Linked DNA regions of Drosophila melanogaster. The protein of the gene in region 4 interacts with the protein of the main gene of each other region in a pairwise test. Each region holds a gene or a part of one and is shown on either strand. Other genes may lie near its edges. The genes, in order: Roc2, TwdlE, CG6770 and CG7763.

Region 1 (5,498 bases), 260 kb from region 4:
AATTTGACTTTCGACTGCTGATTGGTTAATCAAATGTGGGTTCATTAAATTGCCATTTTTTTTTTTTTTTTTACATTTAATTGCATATTTGATCGCCGGACCGAAGTGACAGCGCATAGTAATACTATATCATAAACGACACATAAAGTGCTTGCAAATAGCCGCAATCTTGCGGTTTTACTGCTTTTTGTTGTATTATTATTATTTCATTATTTTTTGTTGTATTATTTGTGGCCATTCGGCTTGAAATGAAAATGGGAAATTAGCAGACGGTAAAACGCCTCTGTTTGACATCGTTTGCAATTGGAAATTTACACCATCCTCAGACGTTACAGGTGGCAAACATTGTTCAGTTCATTAATTGTTGATTTTGCACTTTTTCAACCATTCAGCCGCCAATGTGCGTCATTCAAATCGAACGTGCACGGCGTTAAAGCCAAGTTAATATGGTCTAAAGGGAGGGGCAAGGGGGCGCAAGTGCTTTTCGCCAGTTAATTGCATTTACTTCTCGAGGCTTTGTGGCATCGGGGGCATGAAGTGATCTTGTTCGAAATCCCTAAAACATTTGCACTCATACTTGGAAAATGGGTGTTGCAATTGAGCATTTATTGGCATTTTTAAACATTAAATAAACACACTTTTGTGATGGAATTTGGTTTTTAAATATACCAGATAGTTACTTTTGAAATGAATTATGACATTCAAATCTTGAATATATGTACAACCTGTTAAAATATGCTTTCTGAAATTTATATGTACATGTTCGAAACTTTGCTATAGTTTCACATGCAAAATTTTAAACACTTTTGTATATACTCGAAACTGCTCTAAATGAAAATTTACTGGTAAGCTGTGGAAATTTATCGATCTAGCTTATAAGGAAAACAAAACTGCCTTTAAGAGTTTGATTTTATTTTTTAGCGACTAGAGTTCCACTTTATACGATTATAGATACACCCACAAAGTGTCACATTTACCATCGATATCTCTGAGATACAACACCCCCATATGTACATACACATGTACATATATCTATAATTTTCGCTTAAAAATCATAAACAATTTAACCGAATAGACCCGGTAAATCAAAGTGTCCAATGCCTTTGTCAATAAACATTTGTCGTTCCACTAATTGCCAGCGACCAACTTACAAACAAACAAACAAACAGAAAAGCATGAAAAAACAAGAAAGAAATAGCAGAAAAAAAACCAAAAATCATTTATGGCAAAGTCAATTGCGCTAGTGCTATCTCTTTCGCGCGATGTGGGTGGAAGCATTACGTTGATTATCCAGCAAAGCCAACAACAAAAGCAACAACAACACACTCACACACGCACACAGAAAACAACGAAATTTAATTAAATTAAACTTGCTGTTGGCCTGTTTCTCCTTCAGCTGCTACTTCTTTATTCCGGTTAAAAAAAAGGGCGTTCAACTCAAGGGTTTTATTTTGCAATTATTGATATTTATCCGTATCGCTTTTGACACTCATTTGTGTTTAAGTCTACGAAATGACCTTTATCTGTTTAAATTTTCATTATTTGTTACTTCCACATTTGTTTGCGGTTGTATTAAATTGCACATTTTCATTAGCCACAGGTGATATTTGCTCTTAATTGGCATTTAACACGTCGTCATTTTGTAAGGCTTATGTAGATTTTACATTTGCTATTTGAAAATTTATTGCTTACTGTGAAAAACAACTAATTTCTCCACATTTATTTACTAAAATACCACTCCCTTAATCGGCTTATCGCACATTTGGCATCGGATCGCATTGATACGGGATGTTTATCTTTGATTGTCGGATGCGCCATTTGTGCTGATAGTGATAATGGGTCATTTGCCATTATCTTTTTCAATTTCAGTTTACGATGGGCGAATAATAAGGCTGAACTGTTAGATTCCGGCTGAGCGGCATGGAAATTACTTAATTACTTATGCGGGGCGCGTTCTGGTTGGCAACGGAATCGGAATCAGGTTGCTGTATATTCACGGTCAGCTTTTGTCGTTCGAAGGTTTTCATTTTAAAGTAATCACCGGAAACCGCAAATAATTTATATTGTCAAATTTGTGTTAGTGCATTGGAAACCAACCGTTTATTTCCCAACGCAAGCTGAAACTTGAGAAGCGCGGCCGAAAAACGCTGCCGCAAACGTTCCGCACTCGTCGAAGGCTGAAAATGAATTGAACCGAAGTTGAAGTAAGCGAAAACCAAATCACAAAACAAATTAACCGCCTTATCGATATTTAATTATCGGTCGTCGATAGGTGTGTCCGTGCATATAAGGTGAATGTATCCCCTAAATGGCTGTGGCAACACTGAAAATAGTTTTCCCTTGTTTTGGTGTGGCCACACTGACTTTTGGCTTGCTATTGTTTACATTCAATTATTTCGACTTCTTATTTGTTGGTAAGTCAAACCGGCGGTTCCTTATCATTTGCCCGAAACTAAGCAAGAAGTAGGAGTGAGGTTAACAACTTAACGAACACTGTGATAACCTTTCCTTCGTATACAACTGAGAATGGCATTTCTTTGTTCTCGGAGGAAGAAGTAACTTTTTGGCAAGTTGAGCAAAACATTAAAATTCGTATCAGCCACTTGCTACGAAAGTAAATTACATTTTTACCAGGGATAAGTGAGAGGCTTTATAGTCTATCCCCCTATTCCGCAGCTACCAATATTCATAAAACAAAAAACAATCAAGAAGAATGCGCTTAGTCGAATGGCTCAACTATCAGATACCCGTTACTCTGTTCCCTAATACTAATATACCGTTTGTTCGTAGAATTATCGCCACCAGTTGGAAGGAAGCAACACCTGTTGATCATTTTTGAACTTTTCTACTTGTAGCTCTCCTACGCCTATTAAGCATATTTTTCGAGTAATATTCCTAATATTTGTATAATTACCTTATTTAAAATCCTAAACCTGAGTTACGTACTGATGTCCGGACCTGGTTAGACCACTTTGCCATTTGCTAATAATCAATAACTAAGATAGGTCCGGTTTAGAGTTTCTAATACCCTATAAATTAACAGTTAGAAAAATATTTAAAAACGGGGTCGAATAAAACTTAAAATTGTTTACCAAATAAAAATAAAAACATAAAACATTAAAGGGAAATTAAAAATAAAAGAACCTTAAAAAATTAATATATTGTATTGTAAAATTAAAAAACATTTTTAAACCGCTATTTGTAATACTAATTAAAATCTCCCATACAGGAGGATATACACAAGAAACAAAAAAAAAATATTAAAAAACCGAATCTCATTAGCCCAGTGGATTGGTCAGTTTCCCAGACTTTTTTGACATGGCTGATGATCCAGAAAACTCAGTGGATAGGCCCACAGACGACGGAGATGCCGGCAAACCGGAAAAAATGTTTACGCTGAAGAAATGGAACGCAGTTGCAATGTGGAGTTGGGATGTGGAATGCGATATCTGTGCCATTTGCCGTGTTCAAGTTATGGGTGAGCAATACCACTGATTTCAAAACTCTAATCTTGAGTATTAATAATAATAAAAGGTCCTACATATGTAACAATATGTAACTAGAATATTATTATACTGGTGTCTTTGTTAACACTATCTTGTGCATATCGCAAGCGAAAATGTTTTTTACTCACATATACATAAGTGCCTAAAAACTTTCAATTGGTGTATTTTTCAACGGTAATTTTGATTTATTGCGCTTGCCTAAAAATTCACAATTTAAGCACGAAGACACCACCCTACTATTTGGTTTGAACGCATCTCAGATCCTTAGCAACACGCCATTTACATGTTGAAAGGAAATGGCTTGATGTTGACCACCGAGGACATGGGCACACGGCCCATCATCTTTCGCTCAATTTCCTCCAACGACTTGCCCCGCGTTTCGGGCACAAAAATAATCACAAAGAACAGACCCACGATGCAGATGGCGCCGAATAGCCAGAAGGCTCCATGCGCGCCCATAGCAACTACACACAAAAATATTAAATATTATTACACCACTTATTTTAGTTAGTTGCACTACGCACCCGTGAGGTCCTGGAAGGTCTTGGTTACCACAAACGTGCAGAACCAGTTGAAAGCCGTGACCACCGATGCAGCCGGTCCTCGAATCTTGGCTGGCAGAATCTCACCCATCATCAGCCAGGGAATGGGTCCGAAGCCCAGGGAGAATCCCAGAATGTAGATAACGAAGCAAGTGAGTGGCAACCAACCCAAATGGGACACATCCGGACCATGCGCCTTGCAGTAGAAGAAGCCGCCCAGAATGGACAGGGTCACGATCATGGCGATGTCGGATACATACAGAAGAATCTAAAAATTACGATTAGTAAACAATGATTTTCATTTATATGCATCTTTAAACCCACCTTTCTGCCCAACCGATCAATCAGAATGATGCCCATAAACGTAGCAAAAAAGTTAACTACACCCACGATGATCGTGGAAAGATTGCTATCAATTGTGGATCCCGCATCCTTGAAGATCTGGACCGTGTAGAAAATAACCGCGTTGATACCGCTGAACTGTTGAAAGAACATCAGACCCAAGGAAATGGAAAGTGGCTTCAGATTGTTTCGCTTAAACAGCTCCAAACAGGTGTTCTGAGTGGCCTGACGATCGGCATCGGCCTGAGATTGCATCAACTCCTTTAGTTCGGGCTCCACATCCGCCTCCTTGCCACGCAGCCATTTCAAAGCCTTCCTGGCGCGCTCTTCCTGACCACGGTTCACAAACCAGCGCGGAGTTTCGGGGATAATGATCATCAAAATCAGGAAGGGAACGGGCAGAGCAGCTCCCAAGAAGGCCAGCATCGACCAATTCATAAAGGATCCCGCCACATAGCAAACCAGGATGCCTATGTTACCAAGAGCGGTGGGCAGCAAACCCAAAGTGCCCCGCACTTCCGGCTGCAAAGTCTCACCCAGGTAGACGGGCAGGGATAAAGAGGCAATGCCAACGCAGAATCCAGTTAGGAATCGTCCGCACAGAATCATGATCACATTCACAGCACACGCAATCAGCAGTGATGATACGATGAAGGGCACCGCAGTGGCCAGGATGGTGCTGCGCCTGCCCAGATATTCGATCAAGGGTCCTCCTGTTATGCCACCTGCTAATGCAGCCAGTGGCATGATGCCACCAACCCAGGAACCCTGCAATAGTATAGATTTCAAGTGATTGGATAGGGGTTTAGCTTCGTTTGGGAATAGAAATCCGATTTTCGCTGGAAAAGTGTGCCTTTGAAACGCTCTGTTGAAATTATCTGAATTATTCAACATATCACTGGGACTTATTAGCTTCGAATTAGCTTATCTGCGAACAAAGAGTTAACAAAACTTACAGCATCTTTTGTGACCTCAAAGGAGGTGATGGTCCGATCGGTCATCGACACAAGTGCAGGCGACGTGTAAGCGCTGACAAATCCGACCACCAAGGAGCACAGCGAGACACTCAGAGCAGCCAAAACCTGGAAATAGGAAGGAAAACGATTTT
Region 2 (5,933 bases), on a different chromosome or scaffold from region 4:
AGCACAATTAATGGTATAAATGCAATGTTCGCATTTCTCAAGCTGTATTTCAGCTATATACTTTTACATTTCTCTAAAAAATATCTATATTATCTTCTGGCAAAAATAATGGGTCAAGGGTGCCTCGAGGCATAAATTGCGGAAATATTTGCACCGGAAAAACTCCAAAAATTGCCCTAGGACGCGGCGTAACCACTGATGAACCTGCACCTGTTCCATCTTTGTGAATTCAGCATATTTTACCGCGACCAACGAATGATGATGATGACGATGGGTTTGAATGTGAAAGATGAGCGTGGAAAATTAAGGAAATGCAATCCGTGGACAGGGGAGCAAGTGCAGCCGCTGCTGCAGATGAACAACAAAATCAACACAACCTGCCATTTGGCTAACGGCATTATAAATGATGCCATAGAGGAAAAGTGACAGTCTCTGTCTCTGTGACTCTCCTCCAGTTGAGTCTCTCCAACTGTTGCAAGTTGCAGTTGCAATACTGCTGCTGGGTATCTTACTCGGTGCCTGGGTCTACGGTTTACGGTGTCGTCCTCCGTTTGGCGCCACTGGTCGTCACTGATTATGCCATTTCATAAAGCAAAATTCCGGCAGCGATTGTGCAGGAGTGGCCCCAAAATGCGGCCAAGGATCGCTTGCAACCGATGCAAAAATGCTGATTGCCATTTATAGATTATGTGCATAAATCAGGAAAAAAGCTAGCTATTACTTTGGGGGCTATGAGCCATGGAAAAGTTGCAAAACATTTTGCCAATCATAATTTTATCCATCACTCTTCTCTAACGCTAATTGTCATGGCCGGGGCGTAAATTATTAAATAAGAAAAGCAACCCAAAAACAACACTAAAACTTGCCAGAGATAAAAAAAAAAACAAATTGAAGAAATTCAAAATATTGCAAAAACAAAAAAACCAGAGGAGAAAAATTAAATAAAATGCCTGTACAGATGGGTCGACCCAACAAGAGCGTGAAGCTCATTATGAAGCTTCGTGTCCAAAACGCGGACAGCAATTACAAAAGCAACATAGCCAGTAAAACAATAACAATAACAGTAACAATAATAATAACAACAAGCCAGGCCAAGTCAACTCAAGCCAACACACAACACAACCCAAAACACCGAAAGAAGCTGGCTAACAAAAGGCCGAAAGAGCATGAAGAAATGAAATAAAACCAACACCAGATTCAGTCCCACTCCAGAGCACAAAACAAAGCTTAGCCCCATCCCATCTGATCCCAAACCATACCATACCATACTATACCAACCCATTCCCCAAAACGGCTGGCTAAATGAGAGTGAATCCACATTCATTGAAATTGAAAGTGAATCGTGCCACACGATCCGATCCAGAGTCCAGACTTGGTTACGAGTCCACTGCGATTGGATCCTCTAAATGACCAAAATAACAATTTACACACATTAGCTACATATATATAATAAAGCACATATATATATATATTTATATATAAATAACAGAAATCAGAGATTTTAGGAAAAACCATGTTTCTTTGGCAATCAGTTCGAAGGAGTTGTACTCTACAGCGAATCTATACAAATGTTTTAAATGGGCGAGGGAAAAAAATGCACAAGACATATTTATAAATTAAATATTACAAAATATGACTTGCCTTTAATAATTAAACTATCTAAGCTAAGAGAGGCATTTTCTTTTAATGATAAAAGAACAAAAGGCGTGATAAATTAATAATAAGAGAACAGATATTCTCAGATATTCTTAAATTAAGCAGGAAATCGTTAAAGCTGAGGTTACCGCAAAAAAGGCTTTTATTTTCTTGCCTTGAAAATAATGGACCCTTGAAATAAGCTACATTCCAGCAGCTAAGTGTCTTCAGAAATAAAAACCATAAAAAACTATTTGATGGCCTTGCTGCCTCAAGCTTTATTTTACATACATACACTGCACCTTTCAGGTTCCTTATTTTCCCCATGAAAATAATCCTAGTTGGGCAGAAAAACAGAAAAAAAAAAACAACCAACCACATGCTCGAAAAACCACGAAAAAGAAGTAGTTAATCGAAGGAGGAAAGCCAAAGCCAAGAAACGGTCAGCAGACGTTGCAGTTTCGGTTGGCTTTGCGGTCGCCGTTTGCATCGCAGCCAGGAGCTGCAGCCTCAGTTTCCCCACCAGATCATGACTGGCCAAACTTTGGACTTGGCTTAAACATTTCAATTTCTTCATGGCTACATGCTGCTGCCGCTCTTTGCCAACTGCTCAGCCAACTTGGCCGACTGCTCGGTCGACTGCGGCAGCAGCTGAGGCAGCTGAGGCGGCTAAAGCAGCAGCGGTCTTGATCGTCGTCTTGAATTTTACTTAATTTTTATTTCACGCGCTGCGCTGCTATAAAAGAAACTGCAACAATCGTTGTGGCATGCAGTAAGAGGTTCCGCGTCGAAGCAGCACCACATTGCCAGTAACCAGTAACCAGTAACAGCCAGTAGCACCTAGCCACCTGGAGCAGTGACAAAACCCGAAACGGATATACCCGAAATAAGCCACCCGAAAATGCATTCCAGTTGTGTGGTATGATCTTGTGACCAAACCGACCAAGTGGCCGTGATGGACATCGCTTAATGGTGTGTTCTCCTCCGATCTCGTTCGCAGTTAGTGGTCCTCATGGCCCTGGCTGCCCTGGTGGCCGCTCGTCCAGAGCCGCCTCGTGACTCGTACAGTGCGCCCCCCTCCAGCAGCTACCAGCCAAGTGGACCCAGCGGAGGCTACGGCGCCCCTGCGCCCCAGTACGGACCTCCCCAGCAGGCGCCGGTGATTCACAAGCACGTCTACGTCCATGTACCTCCACCAGAGCCGGAATACCAGGCACCCAGGTGAGTGGCAGGATCAAGGATCCTCTAAGCCAACATAAGTTCCAAAGATCGCGAGTAGAATAGGGTTCCCAATAAACCTATTCTTCAACCAAGTTCCGGAAAAGGATCTATGCATACTCGTTTAAAATTTTTGTCTATACTAGATGATAATTATATCAGACCTAAAAATGGAAAAAATCTTTAAAAATGTTATTTTAGACACATTCAGTTTAATCACAAAAGATACGTATTTAAGAGTTTAAGTAATAGTAAAATTATTTATTTTGCATAGTTTCACAAAATAGAAATCGCACTACACTCCCAACACAGTGAGTGAGTGAACAATCGAGAATTTCTTCTGATAAGCCGTACAATATAAACGTACATCCTGCGGTTTTTTTCATTTCACAACGTAATCAGTTCAAATTATTCACACCCCTTATCCAGCACACTTTTTTTTCGACTTGCGTGATTGTGAGCGGTTACAAACGATCTCGCTTTATTTGTCTTGTTCCACTTAAGATTGGAAAAATATGGGGAAAAAACACATTGTTGTGTTATGAGTATATAATCCAAGGCACTTATGCAGATTCTCTCACAATTCATCGGCGTAAACCAGGCAGTGCCGTCAACTCCCAAAGATAATAACTAGACAAATGTTGCAAGAGACCAGCCGGCAATCATCTAATCCAGCTCAGGGCCCTTTTCCACAGCTGTTGCCACATTTCCAGGGTATTTAGAGGGTCGCTTAAACGGAGGAGGAACATTATTTAATACCCGCGAAAACGAAAGCCATCCAACTTTCCTCTCTTTTCGCTGATACAATGTTTTCTGTCGTCTTCTGTCTGTTTTCAATTGGAGTTGGAAGCGATGTTAATTACCACGAGAGGGGAATGATATGGCTTTGCAGACCGCCAAACCGTGACTAAAACGTTACCTAAGCTCGCCGCAGCACTTGTACTCGTATATATCTCAGTACCATTTCCAAGCAAATTATCAGGCGCAGAGGGACAGGAACTCGATTACCATAGGTAGCTTTATGTAAACCCTCGTCTCGAGGCGGTTGTTGTGACAATCGCTGTCATCGTCACAATAGTCATCATCTTCATCTGATTAGTAAAACTGACAAGCAGCTGCAGTGGGTTCAACGTTGTCGGGAGGTCACCATTTTCGGGAGGTCACCATTTATGGGCATGCCATTTGCATGCACCTCAAAGAGAAACTCCTTTCTCCCGCATCGCGGTATTTGTTCGTTCAACAAGGCAAGGTTATAGGAAGTGTGGAAAGTCATTCCAGCCTGGCCGTGTGTAATTGAAATTTTTTTATTCAGTATGTAAATTTTTACAAGCCGGAAGCAAAAAAAGTTGCGTTATATGAGGATGTGGTGTCTTACTTTACCCATAGAATTCCTAAGAAATTCCTTAAATACAGATATAGCAGAACCTTTATTTAAATACATTTTTAAATATTTTCCCAGGAAACCCCTTTACGTGCCACCTCCGCAGAAGCACTACAAGATCGTCTTCATCAAGGCGCCATCTCCACCAGTACCGACCGCCCCTGTAATACCGCAGTTCCCACAGAACGAAGAGAAGACCCTGGTGTACGTGCTAGTCAAGAAGCCGGAGGAGCAGCCGGAGATCATTATCCCAACGCCAGCTCCCACCCAACCCAGCAAGCCGGAGGTGTACTTCATCCGCTACAAGACCCAGAAGGAGGAGACCGGACCCTATCCCAACAGTGTGGCGCCTCCAGCGCCCGAGTACGGAGCTCCAGCTGCCCCGCCCGCACCCTCTGCTCCCAGCAGCTCGTATGGGGCACCATCCCACTAGGCGATCCAGTCCAACCCGAATACCGATTTGCTTATCTCAACCCAACTCATGGCAAACTGCATATCTTATGTGTATTGTATTATTTTCTGTTTCAAGGACCTTAACGCGTGACAAAGTTTACCAAGCAACGAATCTCCCCCATCCCCTCTCCACACCCAGCTCATAGGATTATTACTCCTATAGATGAGTAATTCTTATCTCTGATGTTGTTTCTACCTGATGTACGAGAAGTATGTTTTCCATCTAGGCTGTTTGTTTCAAATTGTTTGTTTAGTCTTAAGTCTAGGTCTTTAAGCGAACGATGCGTTATACACTCACACAAAACACTCGAAACACTCACTGCGAGCTAGCCTTAGTTATCGATAGAGATATCGATCCTGATACCGATTAACGATATATACGTGGTACATGATTTTCATCACAAACGCATTTTCAAGTAGGCAATTTATTCCAATTTCATATTGCACATTTCGCACACGATTTGTCATTAAATAGAATGTGCGAAGCACTCGAAATGCAACAAAAAAAAATGAAGATTAAAATGATACTCAAGTATATAATGTTAAAAACACAAAACATCAATGGCTAAATAAAAGTTTAACGAATTATCTGTACAAGATGGATTTCTTTTTGTATGTTTCACATTGCAAGTCTTAACATATGTGTACATATATTTATATATATCTGTTTACTATACATTTTCATTTGCCTCGCAAATGTATTTGAAATCAGAAGTACAAGAAGCAACCCACATGCCACCGTTATGTATAGAAACGCAACGCTGATCTACATGTTCGTATAGTGGCTCTCCAGGATTCCATTTCAAAAAAGGTGCTCTCTTTCCGGAGGACACAGATATGAAAACGCCCTTTTCAGCCAGATCACTAATGCCAATCATATAAGTGTTGTCTTTGCTTAGTTGCGAAACGATAGCATTAAAGTCTGCTTCATTTATAATTGAGGCTAGATTACCTCCCATCTTTTGACATGCGCTCAAAGCACTGGTCCAATTTTGTTGGACTATGTCTTCGATGTGCAAATATCTCGATCCGATTCGCTTGAACCTATGTAAAATATTTATTTTCGCAGACATATTCTTCAGCGACGTCGTTATACTAGTCAATGCTTCCTGTAGGTCAGATAGTTGACCCTCCATCTTAAGTTCTGACCTATTGGTTCTGTTCTCGATATCCTCTGCAATGATCTTCTTCCACGATTCCGTTAGCGATGTCTTCTGGCTTTCAATTTCTTTTTCAATATCCCTCT
Region 3 (3,733 bases), on a different chromosome or scaffold from region 4:
CTAACCAAAATGCGAATTTAAACATACATAAGAGTCTTGGAATTTTAATTGTCAATATGTTCGAACAATTTCATTAATATGCATTATAGCAAAACCACCTGATCGAGAGTCTGTTTTATTGTTTACCAAATATCAACAACGCAATTCAAAAAGCCGGCAAATGGCGTTTATAGAGAGAGAGAGAGCGAGAGAGAGGAGAGAATTCCATTAGAGTGGACCTTTCTGGAAAAGTTTGTTCGGTTTATTTTTGTACGTGTGCTTGTTTGTTTGTGAGTGGAAAATAACATAGCTTTTGTAATTTTGGACACCTAATGTAAAAATATCGTTTAGTATTGAAAGTCAATAAAAGCGGCGCAATATTCATAAATGCAACCTTACACGCAAATTTAAACCGGAAGAAATGATGCAGGAATATGTGTGTGCAAGTTTAATTACCTGTGTAACTGGTGAACTTTCAATGGAAGGTCTCGGGAATATTTCCGTTTGCAAACTAACATACATACATTACATACACAAATAAATATGTTCATACATGTTCTCTTTTTGGTCGATCGCTGTAAACAAAGAAAAAAGTCGACTGCAACTGCTTTTGCGATAATCGAGGAGCTGAGTGCAAATGAGTTCAACTAAAAGGCTATAAATATGCACAACAGCACACCAACGGCATTCAAAAAGCTCTCTCGCTTGGAAAGGTGCGCTGCAAATGCAAATGAAAATAAGACGACCAGGCTATTCAGTTTTGGTTTTCTCTTTATTTTATATGTATTACCTAAGTCAAACTTCATTATTTGAAACGCTCTAAGGCTTAGCAACTAAAACTTGCAAGTCTGAATTAGTTTAGGAATATATTAGAAGCTAAGAGTAGTATGTGCCTTTCTTTTTTTGTGTTTGTGAAATTATAAGCGAAATAAAATTATTATAATGTTCACAAAGTTTAGCGCCGCATGAAAAGCCAATGCACAATACAAATGCAATGTGTATTTCCAGCTGGCTTTTGTTTTTCTTTCTTTCCTTCCAGCAAAACTGCTGCTTGTTCTTCTTTTTCTTCTCTCCTTTGCTTTTGCTTTCCTTTTAAATTCGAAGATTTCTTTTCTCCTTTCAGCGCGGCCCCGTTACTTCTTTCTCTCCTGTTCCACCGCCTCCGTCGATGCCCTGCATCAGTTCTTGCAGGCGGCGGCTTTCTTGTTGTTGTTGTTGGTGTTCATCAGCTTGGTCAGAATCTTGCGGGAATGACCGGAGGGATCGAAGTGGTTGGTGTGCTCATTGGCCTCCCTCTTGTTGCGCTGCTTGCCGCTGTGTCCAGAGAAGATGTGCTTGTCATGGTCGAAGTTGTAGTGCTCGTACTCATCGAAGTGGGCCTCGGACATAATGGCGATTTAAGGTTGCAAAACTAACTGCGTTCTTGGTTGGTGTCTGCTTTTTGTTTCTCTGCAAACTTGCAGGCTGCTTTCCAAATTTCTCTTCTGCTTTTTTTTGTTCACTTTTCGCTGAGCTGCGAACGGAATTGAATTTTTTCGGTCGAGCAGCGGCTTTTATAGGCGCGCAAGCTTTCTGTTCCGTAACCAAAGCTCTCTCTCCGTCAGAGTTGCCGGATTTAGCTAAAGAAACTACTAGAAGGGCATTTAATTGTTGCTTACGTGTAGTTACTAAAAATATTTAATTTTTCTATAACTTTCTACTGAACTTTTACAAAATATATTTGCTCTTTTTTATGTAAAAGAATTTTTAGTTATTAAAATTCATAGTTATTGGGCCTGACAACCCTTTTGCGCTCAAGAGAGTGCCTCCTTGACAATTTTTGCTGCGCAATTTAATTTTTTGCTGTTTACAAAGTGCGCGGTAAACAAAAAAACTGAAATCGCCAAACATATTATTTCGCCTTGTTCATTTATTTTAATAATTTAAGAACTTTTAAGCATACACACGTTCCTGAGTGGTTACATAACACACACCCACCTTGGCCCTCCGCAAACGACCATCAAAGTGCATTTACCCTGCATTTGTTTCTCCACCCAATAAATATAGAATTAAATGCATCATATGTTCTGGATACACTGCTCAAAATTTGTTTATTTTTTTACACTCAACAATATTTGAATGTTAGGGCACAAGAAACAATTTAGCAATAATTATAATTCGAATAACATTTTTGATTTACAAAAGATATACTCATAATGGATATTTATTTTGGTGCATTAGAACCTGATCGGTTGACCCACTTCCCTCCCACCAGGCAACGCATTTGTTTATTTCTGAATAGCGAAAAGCTTTCAGTTTGTTTTGGTTTAATGGATTTTATATAAACAAATGTTACGTACATACATATATACATAGCCTTCTGGCGTTGATAAGGTGCTAACTATCGCTCTAGTTAGTCATTTGGCAGGTATTCGTTCTGAAAGTTCGTCTTCAAACGACGCAATAGATCGTAGTCACCATCTTAGATAAGATAGAACGGCCTCAACAATGTTGTTTCAAGAACCTGCCACAATATACCACTTTATTTACAATTCGTTGGTAGCAAATCAATCTTTAGATTTCTCGATGGTTCTTTTTTAATGGCTTTAAAAAGAAACTGGGTTTCCGTGAATATTCTAGATACAATTTTGTTGTACTAGAACTCAGAACGAGAGATCCCACGTCTCATTTTGTAAATATAGCAAATGTTCTAAACTTGCTGATACAGTCTCTTTTCAACATAGTTATTCTAAATATTTACTATTGACCTTTGCCTCACAAATCTCTTTCTCTGAGAAGTTATGAATGGGGTAACCTTCCGTTTTATTCCTATTCTACAGTCTCCTTGGGCAGTAGTGTTTTCAGTCGCTTGTCAGGATTAACATTCCTTATAGTCTTGCTCTTAACACTCTTTGGCTTCTTCTTGGGTGACGTTTCGATCACGGGAAGCTCAAAGTCATCGGGAAAGCTACTGTCCACCGTTTCCGAGAGCTCCAACTGCACCGGTTTCTCTGTGTGAACCCGCTGCACGTGCTCCTTCATTTTGTCGGAGCGATGACTGCTGAATCCACACAGCTGGCACTTGTAGCGGTTCGGACCATTCTCCGTGTGCTTGAGGGCGTGACGCTTGAGGTTTTTGCTCTGGCTGAACTTGCAGCCACAGACCTCGCAGATAAAATCGCGACCCTGTTTGTGAGTTTCAATGTGCAATTTGAGGTTCTCCTTGCGATTGGCTCGATGCTTGCAGCCTGAAACTGTGCACGCAAAGAATTCTCCGGTGTGAAGCAGTTTGTGCGACTTGAGGGCCTTCATGTGCGTGGTGCTATAGCCGCAGACGTCGCAGAGCATTTGCTTCTCGGGATTGTGGACCAGGATGTGATTGCTCAGGCCCTGCTTCCACTTGAAGCCCTTGCCGCAATGTGGACATATGTGCGGCGTTTCCGTGGAATGCTTAGGCTGATGGACGAGCAGGGCAGCTCGTGTGTTGAAGCGGATGCCGCACTGTAAGCAAAAGAAGGGCTTACGCAGATCACCAGAGTGCCGTCGTAGGTGAGTGTCGTATTCCCGCCAGTCCAGAAAGCCGACTTCGCACAGCGAGCAAATCAAATGGGAGGGCTCACAGCTGCCCATGTGCTCGATCATTTTCTGTACCTGATAGCACTTGAAGTCGCAGCCAATGCAGTAGTTCACTTTGCTGCTGGACTTTACAGCTCGCGGGTTCTTAAGCTTTAAGGAAAAGGCGAATATAAGTTACGGCAGTGGCTCAATGACATAT
Region 4 (4,044 bases):
TTGCTATTTTATCATTTTATACACAGCTCACGCAGCACTTCTTTTTCATTTATGGATTTCAGATCTTAATCTGACTTATGCACACCACCACTATTTTTACGCACAAATTTCCACAATTTTTTCGTATCACTTTTATCGGCCGGACATTGCCGGTCCCTGCTCGGGCGCCAGTTAACGCAAGTTCCACTTGCATCAGGGTTCTCGGCACTCGCTGCCGCATACCTCACCTCGATATGACAACCAACATGCTGTGGTTCTCCAAATAATAGTCAAGATAGTTAAGAGGGTTCGAGTTTACGATTAGCTTTATTTTAAGATTCAGTTCGCGATCTGCTAGCGGTTCCGTTATGTGTCCGTTCGACACTGGGGCCTCTTCTCCCGCCCCGCTGCTTTTATATCCGCTTCCCCCGTTGACCCCTCACCCTGAGTGCGACCAACGGCACTTGTTCCGAATGCACACATACACAAACATGTTCCTAGACAGGCCCCGAGTCGCCTGCTGACGGGGCCCGAAAACACGAGAGCCGAGCGCTGGTGAGTCCTGACGAAGATCGCAAGAAGAGGGTTCGTAACTTACACGAACATGTTACTAGACAGGCCCCGAGTCGCCTGCTGACGGGGCCCGAAAACACGAGAGCCGAGCGCTGGTGAGTCCTGACGAAGAGCGCAAGAAGAGGGTTCTTAACTTATATATCTCGATCGGGGGAAGAGTCTTGCCAGACTTTTTGTAGCCAATGGAAAACCTTGAGAGCACGGAGAGTGCTGACACAAAATAATGAAATAGTGGTCAATTCATATAGGATTATATGTATATTCGTAAATAAAGTCTTATTCCAACTTGTTCGTTTTGAAATAAACATTATACTTATTTCCTCCATAAACCATGTGGTAAATGTCAGATATCAAAAACTAATATTAACTTCAAAGAGATAAATATTTTTGTATTATATTTCAATAGATTTTTCGCAAATAAAATAGAGATTGGCAAAACATGAGTTATCGTTCATGGTAGTTTTCCCATTGAATGTTCGGATATCCACACACTCTCCATCTTTTGTGGGTTCCCCATCGGCCCAACTCAAAAAATTGGCCTTCGATCCTTTGGTCACAGAAACGAATTCACTTTCGTTGAACTGATTGGTCACGTCGATCCAGTAGCGATTCAGGCCATTAAGTTGGTTATTGAATCTATCCAATTCCTCCTGACTTTGCAGACTGGCCAGATGGCCACCCATTTTGTGGCATTTATCCAAAGCATCGTGCCAGTTTAGCTTCTCTTCCTTTTCGATGTAGTAGTATTTGCTTCCCAGTTGTTGGAAAATTTCGTTTTCTTCCAGTTTTCTGCCCATTGCTGTACCGTGTGTCAGCAGTTGTTGCGAAGTATTTTGATTTTCCAGCTGCAAGTTCGTTGAAGTGCCAAAATTGTCCAGTCTTCGGTCATTTAGGGCTATTCTCGCTATTGCAACAGCTGCTTCACAGGCTTCAACCCTTCGTTGCAAATTGCCCATGCTCGCGATGCAGGGATTCAAGACACCGTAGCAATATGCAGCACATTGGGAATCGCTTTCAACGCCCTAAGAAGATATGTGAATGTAAATATTTAGCATTTCTAAACCACTTCTCTACTTCACTCACCTCGCAGGCTGCTGAATAACTTGAACTCAGACACAACGGGAGTACCAAAAATATAATAGATTTTTGCATTGCTGCGATTCTGAGATCTTTTAAATCCGAGTGCCAAAAACAGACTGACTTAAATGCTTCGAAACCAAGTATATTAGAAAGAAATCCAATAAAGAAAGAAACAGAAAATCTGACGCTGCATGATGATAAGAGATAGGTACTATGTACGACTTATCGCTCTGCACAGCATGTGGGTATAGTTATCTGCATACACAGAAAAACATAATGCAATTCATAATTCATAAAAATTAAAAATATATTTAACATTTTTTAATTAGATCGGCTTAGAACTAAAAAGTCACATAGTGTAATTAACCCATTCGAAATGCGTAATAAACTCGTAGCGTAATCACATAGGCCTAACTCGATTAGAGCCATATTTCATCGATGACTCACGTCTAAGTTCAGTCAGTCCGTCATTCGCGGTTTTCACACGCAGCCGGTCTGTCGATCTCGATTGCTTTCGTTGCATATATTAAATTTAATTATGGGTTTCGGGCTCGACAATAAATTTGATTAATTTCACGACTCTTCGAGTGTGTGCAGCTAAGACGAGTGGAGGCATTGAGTCGAGAACAATAGGCCTAAACTATTGTGGCTAAAAGCTTTAGATCCAAACGATTAGGTCAGGCTGAGTGGCGGCAGCAAAGGCGGCAACTTAGTCTTAGTATAGACGAAGTCGAAATTGCGCTGCACGCATGCGCATAACCAAAATGTCAAGAAGTTGTTCGAGTTGTAGTGGCTGCTCGGATTTGTGGCCTATTGCCGTTTGGGCCGCAAAACGCGACTCGAACTTGCTCTTGGCGGCATTTGTAATTAGCGTTTTGTGGCCGAACAGCCAACACACGGGCATTTTTTTTTGTTTTTTTCTTTTTTGCGCATTTATTAATTAAACGCACAGCGACGCACGACATTGGCCGTGCGTCCAATGCGAACTGCGAACCGCGAAATCCATATCGAAATCGAATTCGTATCACCAAAACGTAGAGAAACACGGCTGGAAAGAGATATCAAACATAGAAGCCTGCACATCGACCTTGGGCGCAGAGTGAACAGTGCATTTCGGGCTCCATTCATAACACTTGATCCAATCCAATCCAATCCAATACGATGCGATGCGATGCGAGGCGATCCGATCCAATGCGATTTCCATTTAAGTGATTCCATGTGATCTCTTCACGGGCAATGACTCAACAGAACCCCGAATCACTTTTACTTCCCAGCCAGCTCCACCTGAACTTTGCAGACACGCTAAACACAATAAATGCACTCGAGTGCATCTCACGTCTGACAAATTGCTTGTATCCGCTGGCAGTTCGATATGCAACGATATTGTGCAATGGAAAATTCGGAAAATCGCACAATCAGCTTCATGGCAAAGGGCAAACTTTGAGCGCAGCTATGGTTAAGATGTTGCGTTGTCAACTCGACATTTGCAAGCGCCGATGGAGGTGGAGATAGGCCATTATCTACATTATGTTCGACTGGGCCTTAGCCTCCTTGATTTGATCTTCATACTTTTTTTCCTCTTTTATTGAGCCTTATAATAAATATATTCTTGAATATCCTCTTATTTTGTTCTCTCTCTCAGGGCTTGGGCCACCTCAGTGGCTGTCACATTAATCCGGCGGTCACCCTTGGATTCCTGATCGTTGGTGAGATCAGCATTCTGAAGGCTGCCTTCTACATCATCGTCCAATGCGTGGGCGCCATTGCTGGAGCGGCTGTGATAAAGGTGGCACTCGATGGAGTGGCTGGTGGCGACCTGGGAGTATCCTCCTTTGATCCCTCCCTGAACTGTGCACAGGCGGTGCTGATCGAAGCGCTGATCACCTTTATTTTGGTTTTCGTGGTCAAGGCTGTTTCGGATCCTGGACGCCAGGATATCAAGGGATCAGCGCCACTGGCTGTTGGTTTGGCCATCGCCGCTGGCCATTTGTGTGCAGTGAGTACGAGGTGATGGAGTTCTCCGACTGGAGGTTAATAAGTGTACCATTTACAGATCAAACTGAGCGGTGCCAGCATGAATCCCGCCCGGTCCTTTGGTCCCGCCGTAGTGCAGGGCGTCTGGACCTATCACTGGGTTTACTGGGTGGGTCCCATTGCCGGCGGCCTGTTGGCCGGAATCATCTACAGATTAATCTTCAAGGTACGCAAGGGCGATGATGAGACCGACTCGTACGACTTCTAAACAGTGGCCGAATACCATATATGTATTTTTGTAAATGTCCGCACCTGCTTTCCATTCCCATCACACATTCGCTTTCCCATCGAATTCGTTTGCCGAAATTTCTCGTAGTTTAGGTTTGCTCCACCATCACAACCAAGCTGAATTTTCAACGCAATTTGTACCATTTTATT

What was found.
Region 1: the proteins of CG7763 (region 4) and Roc2 interact in a two-hybrid assay, tested with the Drosophila melanogaster proteins (one large-scale study listed by BioGRID).
Region 2: the proteins of CG7763 (region 4) and TwdlE interact in a two-hybrid assay, tested with the Drosophila melanogaster proteins (one large-scale study listed by BioGRID).
Region 3: the proteins of CG7763 (region 4) and CG6770 interact in a two-hybrid assay, tested with the Drosophila melanogaster proteins (one large-scale study listed by BioGRID).

The regions. Positions count from the first base shown.
Region 1 is NT_033778.4:11,676,186-11,681,683, reverse strand, and holds the start of Roc2 (regulator of cullins 2), read left to right. Parts: upstream 1-2,329; 5' UTR 2,330-2,414; intron 2,415-2,790; 5' UTR 2,791-2,886; intron 2,887-3,229; 5' UTR 3,230-3,318; coding exon 3,319-3,478; intron 3,479-3,669; exon of another isoform or gene 3,670-3,785; coding exon of another isoform or gene 3,786-3,970; intron 3,971-4,030; coding exon of another isoform or gene 4,031-4,316; intron 4,317-4,372; coding exon of another isoform or gene 4,373-5,158; intron 5,159-5,346; coding exon of another isoform or gene 5,347-5,472; intron 5,473-5,498. Other genes in the region: Tret1-2 (trehalose transporter 1-2), read right to left, coding at 3,786-3,970, 4,031-4,316, 4,373-5,158, 5,347-5,472.
Region 2 is NT_033779.5:7,857,304-7,863,236, reverse strand, and holds TwdlE (TweedleE), read left to right. Parts: upstream 1-2,397; 5' UTR 2,398-2,536; coding exon 2,537-2,554; intron 2,555-2,635; coding exon 2,636-2,856; intron 2,857-3,116; exon of another isoform or gene 3,117-4,312; coding exon 4,313-4,667; 3' UTR 4,668-5,280; downstream 5,281-5,933.
Region 3 is NT_033779.5:12,044,609-12,048,341, forward strand, and holds CG6770 (uncharacterized protein), read right to left. Parts: upstream 1,511-3,733; 5' UTR 1,368-1,510; coding exon 1,158-1,367; 3' UTR 735-1,157; downstream 1-734. Other genes in the region: Plzf (promyelocytic leukemia zinc finger), read right to left, coding at 2,788-3,684.
Region 4 is NT_033778.4:11,412,216-11,416,259, reverse strand, and holds CG7763 (uncharacterized protein), read right to left. Parts: upstream 1,751-4,044; 5' UTR 1,705-1,750; coding exon 1,636-1,704; intron 1,575-1,635; coding exon 945-1,574; 3' UTR 798-944; downstream 1-797. Other genes in the region: drip, read left to right, coding at 3,275-3,628, 3,686-3,832.